3 linked regions of the Cricetulus griseus genome follow. The protein of the gene in region 2 purifies or fractionates together with the protein of the main gene of each other region. This does not show direct contact. Links are inferred from orthologs where the notes say so. Each region holds a gene or a part of one and is shown on either strand. Other genes may lie near its edges.

Evidence for each region.
Region 1: the proteins of Snx9 (region 2) and Dnm3 purify together in Homo sapiens (co-immunoprecipitation; 3 studies listed by BioGRID and IntAct, counting the BioPlex papers as one, with this or other methods). This does not show direct contact. The link is inferred for Cricetulus griseus from reciprocal best matches to the Homo sapiens genes SNX9 and DNM3.
Region 3: the proteins of Snx9 (region 2) and Dnm1 purify together in Homo sapiens (co-immunoprecipitation; 6 studies listed by BioGRID and IntAct, counting the BioPlex papers as one, with this or other methods). This does not show direct contact. The link is inferred for Cricetulus griseus from reciprocal best matches to the Homo sapiens genes SNX9 and DNM1.

What each region holds. Positions count from the first base shown.
Region 1 is NC_048598.1:29,774,656-29,778,307, reverse strand, and holds part of Dnm3 (dynamin-3), read right to left. Parts: intron 3,101-3,652; coding exon 2,951-3,100; intron 1,935-2,950; coding exon 1,731-1,934; intron 1-1,730. UniProt on the Homo sapiens protein: Microtubule-associated force-producing protein involved in producing microtubule bundles and able to bind and hydrolyze GTP. Most probably involved in vesicular trafficking processes, in particular endocytosis.
Region 2 is NC_048595.1:287,025,859-287,029,510, reverse strand, and holds part of Snx9 (sorting nexin-9), read right to left. Parts: intron 1,874-3,652; coding exon 1,748-1,873; intron 1,651-1,747; coding exon 1,533-1,650; intron 1-1,532. UniProt on the Homo sapiens protein: Involved in endocytosis and intracellular vesicle trafficking, both during interphase and at the end of mitosis. Required for efficient progress through mitosis and cytokinesis. Required for normal formation of the cleavage furrow at the end of mitosis.
Region 3 is NC_048599.1:144,070,770-144,074,421, forward strand, and holds part of Dnm1 (dynamin-1), read right to left. Parts: intron 2,100-3,652; coding exon 2,001-2,099; intron 1,917-2,000; coding exon 1,756-1,916; intron 650-1,755; coding exon 507-649; intron 398-506; coding exon 262-397; intron 168-261; coding exon 100-167; intron 1-99. UniProt on the Homo sapiens protein: Catalyzes the hydrolysis of GTP and utilizes this energy to mediate vesicle scission and participates in many forms of endocytosis, such as clathrin-mediated endocytosis or synaptic vesicle endocytosis as well as rapid endocytosis (RE).

The DNA.
Region 1 (3,652 bases), on a different chromosome or scaffold from region 2:
TGTTGGTGAGTATGTAATATACAACATCTTGAAGTGTCTAGAAAAGATTAGTATTGCTATCAAAAAGCAGCAGAGTTCCTGGTACAGTTAAAATTAAGTTGACATTGATCCAAACAAAGTTTCTATAATTTAATTTTAAGAGTATTCTTAGAGAAATCACTACGAAAATAACTTCAAAGACAGGTAAATGAATGACAAGAAACCAAAGTGATACACTGAAAACTGGATTGTGACACAAAGGAAGACATCATCAGAGCATCAAAGACATAGGATATAACATAAAAAAACAAAATGACATACAGATTCAAGGCTGTGAGTAATGTCACCGAATTTAAATAAATTAAACACTCCAGGCAAAAGGCAGACATTAACAAAATGGATTTTATTACTCCCTTAACGCTCATGGATTATCCAGAAAGAAAGGAAGGGGCAGAAGACAGGCAGAAGTGCTTGACAATGCCTTCTTCTAAGCACACCATGGCCAGGGCAAGTCTTCTTGGCTTCAAATAGGCATATAGCCTACCTGAGACCATCTCTAGCAGCTCAGAAATTCTACCAACAAAAATGATCCAGTCACAGCCCAATTGCTGTATGTAGAGCCTACTAACCAATGGATCCCAATCCTGCAGATGTATCAGCTTGTCAGCGTTTCACTCTCATCAATAAGCAAGAAACAGACCGCCATTATGTGTTTGACAGAGGTCTCTAGTATCCAAGACAGAGACCAAGGCAACAAGAAAGCAATGGCCTCTGAGATTAAGTATAAGAGAAGCATAAAAGAAGACTGAAAAGTTCTGATCAGTCCTCAATCGTTGCACTCATGAATCCAAGAGCAGGCTGCTATTTGTAAAATATAAAAAATAACATTCATAAAATAAAAGAATGCTCTTGGAATTTCAACATTTCTATCATAAATAAAAAAATGAGTTAGAGGAGAGAATGCAAATGTGTAAAACAAAAAAGGCTGAGAAATGAATGTTAGAAGAGAAACAGGAGAAAATAAGAAATAGCAAGCATTAAAAACAAAGAGAGCAAATAAATGGGGACAATCAATCATAACAAATGTTGGAAGTCCTAGAGTTGAGGACCATGCACCTCCATGTTGCAAGAGCACATCTGAGAGCCTTTTGATCATTTCTTTACACACACACACACACACACACACACACCCCAAGGTGTGCCAATAAAATCTTTGAAGAGAGATCGTCATTTTTCAACTCAGAGAAAGGGAAAATTAAAACATCAGCATAAGGAAGAGACTTTTCTGGATTCTAACATACAAATAAGAAAAATAATCCCTAGTATTATAATATATATCAAATAAATACAGCCTAAATAATCTGTTATGTTTGTTTTTTAACATTTCCTATTTTCAAGAAATAATAAACAAAAGACAATAGAAAGTGTGCTAATTGAGACATTTGGGTAGCTCCTATAATAACTAAATAAATAGAATTCTGCTATTGCAGAAATTTATTTTATTAACCTTTAAAAATAAGCACTCTGAGATTGAAAGTGCCTGTGTTTTTGGATTTCATTGGATATTAATTTTAATCATGTGGTATTTGACTGTATTCCCTAGTTATTCTTTTGGCACTTGAAATATAAAATATTTACCAACATTAACCTTATTGAACCTTATGAAATCAAGTCATGAGAATTTGGGCTACCTGTAAATATGACCAAAACTCTTGTCATATTCTTTCTTATGATACTTGTCACACACTCACCTTGAGGATCAACTTCTTTAGCTAGCTTCAGTGCATCGGAGTTCGCAAGATCGGTGTTGGCTGGAGTGACAGCCAAGATCAGACAGTTCTCTCTTGTGATGAACTGCATGATCATATCTCTGATCTGATATTCAATATCTGGGGGCTGGTCTCCCACGGGCACTTTCGTTATCCCAGGTAAGTCGATTAGCGTTAGATTTAACACTGTGTGGGAAAGAATGGGAAGAGTCTTACAGATACCTTCTATCCAAAAGATACCCATAAGGCTGTCGAAAAGACACCCCAGGTGGCTGCATCAGCTGCCACTTATCTCAGCTTTACGTGTTGTGTATGTGGATGACTCCATCACAAGTGAGGAGAAGGAAAGGCATTGAATACAAAATGGGTTTGCTAGTTTTCTCTATTTTTACATGATTGAGCTAAGCCAAATGATCATCTTAACATACTCTGAAAGGCATTGATTTACATGCCTACCAGTTTGCTGAGAGAGCTGTCATCCCCTCGCTGTCATAACTAGACAGCTATAATTAAAACACCCAACAATACATGCATATGCTGTCTGCCGGTCTTAAACATTGCCTTCAAGTGGTATAAAAAATTTTCAGGGTAACAGTTGCCCTTCCCCTTTGAAAGCATCGTATGTTATTTGCAGAAGGTTAGCCACTTAGCCTGTGGGAAGCTGTGAGCCATTTGTGGTGCTTCGAGTGGAGTAAGTGGGCTGTACAAGCAGTTGGTGGCAAGGTGATGGCAGTCCAACTCAACTACTGTCTTCTGGGTGTGGGTACCAAGTCCCTACATGAATTTATGATGACTGTCTAGTGATAAAAATTGCATTTTGTTCCCCTGGAATAGAATAAGTAGAAATATAAAATGTCTACAAGGAGATTAACAGGGAAGGACTCAACCATATACCTCTAAAATTTTTTGGCAAAGACTAAAGACAATAATAATAATAATAAATTCATGTGCCCACCTCCCAATGTTCTGAAAGTTCATAATAAAAAAAAAGGATTTTTTTCAATTCTCAAGTAAATTCTGGATCTTATCAGTCAGTCCCCTCCTGCCTCTCTCTATATAGTCTGAGCTCTTTGAATTGTACCATAGGCACCACAACCCAAACATCCAGAGACCCGCACTATTCGAATGTTCTACAATGAATGTGAATTTGTCTAGTAAGTAATGTCTGAGGAGAATCATTCAAATTTAAATATTACACTTACCATGTGGAGAATAGACTCGGAGGTTAATGGGTATAGAAGAGATACCCTTATTCATTCCCGTCACTCGGTCTGTTTCTGCTTCAATCTCATGGCGAACTTCATCAAAATCTGTAAATTTTTTTCCTTTGCAATGTAGAAATTCTGCATATTCTAAAACAAACAAAAGCAAAGAAATGCATATATTTATGTCAGGATTCTATCAAAGAAACAATATCTTAATTAAGAACAACTCAAATTACCCATGTTGTTCCTCAGCTATCAAAACAATTCAGCAGTTACTAAGACTGATAATTCTCTGAAAATATCAAATTTGCTAAGTTCCAGATAAGAATTAAGTACTATAAATGTTCTTTCACCATCAAGCCTACCAAATGGTAAAATACAATTGTGGCTGGTTAAATGACAAAACAAAAAAAAAAATGGTACCCTGTTTTTAAAGACTGTAGGTCTGGGGTGTGCACATACCCACCAACTAAACTTTTCATTAGGATGGAATGCTATCTTACACAAATACTAGGTAACTTGGATATAGCACTTGCTCAATTCTTTTTAAATGCAGTATTTTAGATTTAGCAGCATACTATTCAAACTATCATATCAACTTGTATAAGTAGAAATTTTCTTAAGAAAAAATGGACACAATATTAGATCAAAAGTATTGGCTTCTGGCTCGAGCTAGTGAGAGATCACTGACTCAGGTCT
Region 2 (3,652 bases):
TCAAACACAACCCCCACACCCCCTTAGCAGGACAGAAGAGCCTGTCGGATGCTTTGGGTTCTGTTTCCCTGCTGTGTGCTATGAAGACCAAAGTGCCTACCTGTAAGCACAGAAAAGGCACCCAGGACTAGCCCCCGAGACAGGGTGGGCTGCAATGCTCAAGTCTCACCCAGGCAGTGCCATCTGGCAGGATAAGATGATTTGTGGTCCCTCCCTAAGTTCCCAACTCTTACTGAGGGTTAAGCCTTCTTTGGCCTTCTCTTTGGGAAGGGCCTTGCTTCCTCCCAACCCCTCTGTCCTCTGTCCCAGGTCCTTCTAGATCCGACTGGCTAAGTCTCACAGTCACCCTCCACTCATTCCTTTCTACGTGGACTGGTTTTGTCATGTGAACAGTTTCTACCTCTCTACTGAAACTCTCAGGTTTTGGGAAGCTCAGCCTCTTTATAAATCCTGTGTCCTAAGTTATGATCACCAAGTCCTCAAACACTCATCCCTGGTCCCACACTAGAGGACTCCTGTTCTGAGATGACAGTTTCTAAGGACAGGGGCAACAAACTCTTTCTGCCCAGATGCATGGGGAGGGGGTGTCTGGTGACAGGTGGACTGCTTAGAAGAGAGTTTTTCGTTTTTTTTTAAAGATTTTATTTGTTATGTATACAATATTCTGCTTCCATGTATATCTGCACACCAGAAGAGGGCACCAGATCTCATAACGGATGGTTGTGAGCCACCATGTGGTTGCTGGGAATTGAACTCAGGACCTCTGGAAGAGCAGTCAGTGCTCTTAACCGCTGAGCCATCTCTCCAGCCCGTTTTTCATTTTTAAAAGATAATTTTATTATTTTAAATCATGTGTGTGACCTCGTGCATCTGTGTGTAGGTATGCACACATGAATGCAGGTGCCCGTGGAGGCAAAGCTGGAATTGTGGGCAATCATGGGGTGCTAGAAACTAGCATGGGGTGCTAGTTGGTCCTCTGCAAGGGCGGTGTACATTCTTAACTGCTGAGCACTCGCCAAAGCTTACTTACCACAAGATTTTTAAGGGCAGGACAAAGTGGAAGAAATGCGACACTTTTTAGTAAACAAGAAAAGGGAGAGGGTTTGAGTAAGCAATGAAGAATTCTCCATCATGAACGACCCAGAGGCCCTGGCTTCTCCGTGTGTTCCCCATACACAAAAGAGCAGGGCGGCAGAGCAGTCTCCTGTCATTTGGGTCTCAAGCTTTTGTTTTCATTTTAGGCTGTTCAGATAATTTTTATTTCTAAGGTTCTGTTTCTCACATGTAAAAAAAATGTATTTCTTTTTTTTTTCTGGTAGAAGGAAATAGAGACAATGACTTTTCTAGAATTCAAGGTGTGGACACAGCTCTCTGATGGCAAATTTTACCATAAGTTTCTATGAAATATTCAGGCAAGTTCCACATTTGTCCAGTCTTCACAGGCATGAGTGACCACTTGCACTCTTGCACATCAGGAGTATAACATAACTGGCTCTCCACCTGTCATCTAAAACACCATTGCTCATGCTCACCTGTCACCTGCTTGTCTGGAAGAGAAGGGATCGGAATGGCAGACCCAAATTTAACTAAGAGACGCTCATACAACCAGTCAAAGTGCTTGTATCTGTGGTTTACAGATCGATTAGTGTTCTGCAAAATAAGGGAAAAAAGAACAAAGCATTACGGATGCCAAGTACTGAAAAGGAGAACAAGAGCTGTGGCAGCTTCATTTAGAGCAGGTACTCACGGTAGGTGTTAGCTGATACTCAATGTAGCTCTTCAGACCGTACATTTTGGAACCTTTCCGGGGATCTGCTACCACACAGTCAAAAGTAGAGGTAGGGTAAACCCACATTGGGCCATAATCTCCAACCTAAACAATGATCCAGGACAAGTTAATTCTGTATTTTCTTGGGAAAATGGTAATACAATTGCAGTAAGGCAGGGAACAATTCCTTTCAGAACTGCAGTCCTATGGCAGAAGGGAGGACTGGTCTGTCGTTCACAGACACTGTATCTGCAAAAGCACAGTTGTTCAGAAGAACCCATCCATCTTTTCCATGTGGGCATCTTGTCTCACTCAGGATGAAGAGAAACCGGCTCCCATCTAGGGAGCTGAGCTCAGAAGCACTGCCTCCTTTAGACCACAATTTAAAGCTAAATTGAGCTAACTTCAAGACAGTATGAGGCTGGCCACAGTCTGACAACCACTATTTCAACCCTGGTTAGAAGTAAAAGAAAAGGAAGAAGACCAGCAGTTGGGCTGAAGAGAGATGTGTGAGCTGAGAATTCCACAGCAAGGCCAGCAGGTGCAAGGAGACAAGAATGCCCATCTCATTCTGTCCAGAAGTGGTGGAGGGGATGCAGGATGGGTACAGAAGTCCAGGCAGGGGTCACTAAGGAGGATGGATGACAACTGGAGATGATTAATAAGGCACTAAAGAGATCTCTAAGAATACACAATTAAGCTGCCTCAGGGGCGATGTCCCGGAGGTTCTACTAAGCCTTCAGGACAGCAACTGAGGCCCATGTGGAGCAGCAATCCTCTGTGAAGAGGACAGAGAGCAACTGCCTGGTCCCCAAACTTGCCAGGCCTATATTATCAGTGAGCAATGCTATTTTTTATCCTAAGCACACAATGGGTCTCTGCCCAGGGGTTTTGGCAGATAGACCCCTGTGCCTGAGGGCAGGCCTGACTGACCAGCTTCTCACACAGCAAAAGAAATGGTCTTCATCTCCTGAAGACTCAATGGCTTTCCCATTTCTTTTGCTATGTGAGAACAAACAAAAAGACTCAAATCTTCTTCTTCTTCTTCTTTTTTTTTTGGGTGGGGGAGGACGGGATTTCTTTGTAGTTTTCGAGCCTGTCCTGGAACTCGCTCTGTAGACCAGGTTGGCCTTGAACTCACAGAGATCTGCCTGCCTCTGCCTCCTGGTTGCTGGAATTAAAGGTGTCCACTACCACCTTTCAGCTCAAATCTTAAAATCAAATTACTCAGAAGATAATTGCCCCAAATATGCTGTGAGGGACAAAGGTTACAAGGGGCTTTGGGATATTGCACTTCTATTAGATGGTTCCTAGAATTTTAAGCTTTTTATGGATGAGGAAAAGTAATTAAAAGATCTATTATCATTCCTGGTTATTTTATCACAGGCAGGTGGTTCCTTGTGCTTGCTTCCAGCCATGCAGATTGCATCCAAGGCCTCCACCAGCTACAGGTTAAGTCACTAGGGTTACAAAACAGTCATAGATCTTTTTTCCCCTAGAACTTCACCTAGATAGAAATATATTAACAATCAAAGTATGGGATGAAACTGAAGAGCATTTGTCATATTTAATAATCATTTCACCAAGACAGATTAAACTGTTAATGGTGTCATTAACTCCCAGATTTATTTGCTAGCCCCTTAACTTCAGCTGTCAGCTGGTTTCCTGGAAGAAATCCTATTGTCAGGGTATTGGGAAAAGCACCCTGTCCTAACGACTTGCTCTTCTTTCACCAGGGCAGAAACCAAAATATTCTAACCGAGCTCATTGGCTAAATAAATAAGGCTGGTAGAAAGACAGAATGTAAAATATGTATTACAGTCTAAGACATTTTAGAAGAGAAAAAGTTTTAAAGTGCACAAGCGATGGTTGAACATTAATAGT
Region 3 (3,652 bases), on a different chromosome or scaffold from region 2:
GAAGACCAGGACCCTCAGGTCCATCCTGAAGGAGTCTCCTGTAAGCCCAGTGCCCCTTGCCTAACAGTGTGCAGACCCCACCCTGGTCCCAGTACATGCCTGATCCCATGAATGTTCTTGATGGCATAGCTGATCTCCCTTCGGAGTTCCTTCTCATCAAACTCCATCTGTGGTGGACAGACAGAAGACTGGTTAGGGCCAGCCCTGCCACAGGAGGTAGAGATAGGGCCCACCCTCCTGCCTGGGATTGCAATGCCCTACCTTAACCAGCTCAAAAGGAAAGCGTTCATGGAAGATCCGGTTAATGCGTGCTCCACCTGACAGCTCATAGGTGTCAATCTGGTCTCCGGAACCTTCAATGCGTTTCTCGAAGTCCACTGCAAACTGCTGGACCATCCTGTGTGGGAGAGGGGCGTGGCCTGAGAAGACTTGGTGGGAGCCCTGGGCCCTGGAGGGTGGCAGGGGCTGTAGCAGTTAGCCCTGGAGACCGGGGCCAGAAGTCTTACTGCAGCAAGGCCTTGGTCTTGCGAGCTGGGTCATCGGGTCGGAAGTTCTTGTACTCTTCCACCTCCTTCTCAATGGACAGCAGCTGGCTCTGCAGTTTGTTCCGAAGCCCCGGCAGTGTGTCCCGGATGTGATTGGTCAGTTGCTAGGCGTGGTGGGTAAGGAAAAGGTTAAAACCAAGCTCACAGCCCTAGATGCCCACAGGGTCGGGCAGGGGAAGTGATGTTGGAGGCTGTGTGGATACAGTGAGGCACAGAGCTGGGCAGCACCAGGGCAGAGGCTGTAGAGCAGTGGCTCCCAACCTTCCTGATGCTGCAACCCTCTAATACAGGTCCTCATGGGGTTACCCCAACCATAACATTATTTTTGTTGCTACTTTAGGACTGTATTTTTTAAAAAAAGATGTTATTTATGCCGAGTGTTGGTGGCACACGTCTTTAATCCCAGCACTTGGGAGGCAGAGGCAGGTGGATCTCTGTGAGTTCGAGGCCTGTGTGGTCTACAGAGATCGAGTTCCAAGACATCCTCCAAAACAATGCAGAGAAACCCTGTCTCAAAACAAACAAAAAAGCTATTTTATATACAAGTCCTCTACATGTACACCTACACACCAGAAGAGGGCATTAGATCCTATCATAGATGTGTGGGTGCTGGGAATTGAACTCAGAACCTCTGAAAGGGCAGTCAGTGCTCTTAACCTCCAAGCCATCCCTCCAGTCCCTGGGTCAACCGAGAGAACCAAGATGTCCAGGTGAATACATTCCAGTCCCCACTAGTCAGTACCACCATCCACACAAAATCTTGGTCTTTTATACATGCTGGGAGTCCCAGGGCTCCCCTTCCAGGCCCCAGACAGGAAAAGTCAGCAGAATTCTTGTCACTAACTCCCAGTGGGACTGAGACTGAGGAAGCCTCCTTTCTCTGGGTCTCAGTTTGTCGAATCAGTGGATGCTAATCAGCACTGGTCACCCTTAAGATGCACTGAGAAAGCAGGCAGGGGAGACGGCTCAGTAGCCAAGAGCATCCACACAGCAGCTCACAACCATCTGCAACTCCAGTTCCAGGGGACCTGATGCTCTCTTCTGATTTCCCTGAGCTCCAGACAAAACACCCATACATATGAAATAAAATGCTTAAAACACACACACACACACACACACACACACACACACACACACACCAGCAAACAAGAAAAGATGCACTTGAGATTATTCTCATTTCCCTGGGCCCTGGCCAGGCCTGCTCCCCTACCTGGTTGAGGACCTTCTGCAGGTAGGGTGTACCCATGCGGTCGGCCAAGTGGCGGTAGGACGGGTGAGAGAGGAAGAATTTGCGTTCGGCAGCCAAGGCGGCTGTGATGTCCTTCTTGCCATCGATGTCCTTCTGGCTGCGGTTCACCACACCAATGTAGCCTGTGGAACAGGGCCAAGGTCAGAGGCAGGCAGCCTCCAGGGAAGGCGGATGAGGGAGAGAGAGGCTGAGCAGTTTCTGCCTACCTCTGCGCAGAGGGAGCAGCTTATTCTCCAGCACATCCCGAGCATCTGTGCCCTCATCCATCAGATCCAACTTGGTGATGACCCCAATGGTGCGTTGACCTGGAGAGTGGCCATGGAGGACTGTCACACCCGCCGCAGTCCTCACTAGGAAGACTTCATGCATTCTCAAACCCTCCACACCATTCCTCTCCCCCTCTCTCCACTCCCCTACCCACTGATCCAAAGTGGCCAAAATGATTTTTTGCTGATGCAATTTCTCTTTTTTAATTATTTGTTTTATGTGTATGTGAGTTTTGTCTACATATATGTTTGTGTGCCATGTGTGTGCCTGGTGCCTGCAGAGGCCAGAAGAGGGTGTCATATCCTTTAGAACTGGAATCACAGATGGTTGTGAGCTGCCATGTGGGTGCTGGGAACTGAACTGAGGTCCTCTGGATGATCAGTCAGTGCTCTTAACCACTGAGCCATCTCTCCAGCCCTGTGTTGATGCCATTTCTTTGAGAGAGGATCTGACTATGAAACTCAAGCTGGCTTCAGACTTGATATATGCTGGGGCTGGAGAGATGGCTCAGTGGTTAAGAGCACTTGCTGATCTTCCAGAGGACTCTAGTTCAGTTCTCAGCACCCACAAGGCCGTTCACAACTGTCCATAACAGTTCCAAGGGATCTGAGGTCCTCTTCTGGCCTCTGTGGGCACTGCATGCAGGTGATGCACAGACATCATGCCAGCAAAACATTCATACTAATAAAATAATTTTAAATCTAATGTAGCCAGCAGTGGTGGCACAGCCTTCAAGCCCAGCACTCCATTCAGGTGGTAAAGGCGGGAGGATCTCTGTGAGTTCAATACCAGCCTGGTCTACAGAGCTAGTTCTAGGACAGGACAAACAACACTACACAAAGAAACCCTGCCTTGAAAAACAAACAAAACAATTTTTTTATCTATATAATCTCCCCTTACGCTGCCCTATAAGATCTCTATGCAGTGGCTTTTCGTCATCTTTCTAGCCATCCGCCATGGTGGATGGATGAAAGGCCCTAGCCAGAACTCACAGCCTTCATGCCCCCACCTCTAGAGAGATGGGAGCCTGATTGTTCACTGCCGCACTGAGTGCCAAATCATGATTTAGTTTTTATTTGTTTGTTTTTGTTTTTTTGAGACAGGTTTCTCTGTGTAGTCCTGGCTGTTCTACAACTCGTCTGTAGATCAGGCTGGCTTTGAACTCAGAGATCCACCTGTCTCTGCCTCCTGAGTGCTGGGATTAAAGGTGTGTGCTGCCACTGCCTGGATAAAATGATGTTTTAACTACACTATGTCCCCTAGACACTCCCCTTACGCTGCCCTATAAGATCTCTATGCAGTGGCTTTTCGTCATCTTTCTAGCCATCCGCCATGGTGGATGGATGAAAGGCCCGAACTAACATGGGGTTAGCTCATTAAACAACTGCAATAAAACCTCTTGCTATTTCCTTAAAACAAAACAAAACAAACAAAAAAAAAAAACCACTGCACCATGCTAGGTAAGAACCTTATATCCCCAACCTGGCAAAAAATGTTTCTATGGGGTGGAGCTTTTAAAATTCACTTGTGTTTATTTACTTATGTATATGTGTGGGTGTGCCACCACACACATGTGGAGGTCAGACGACAA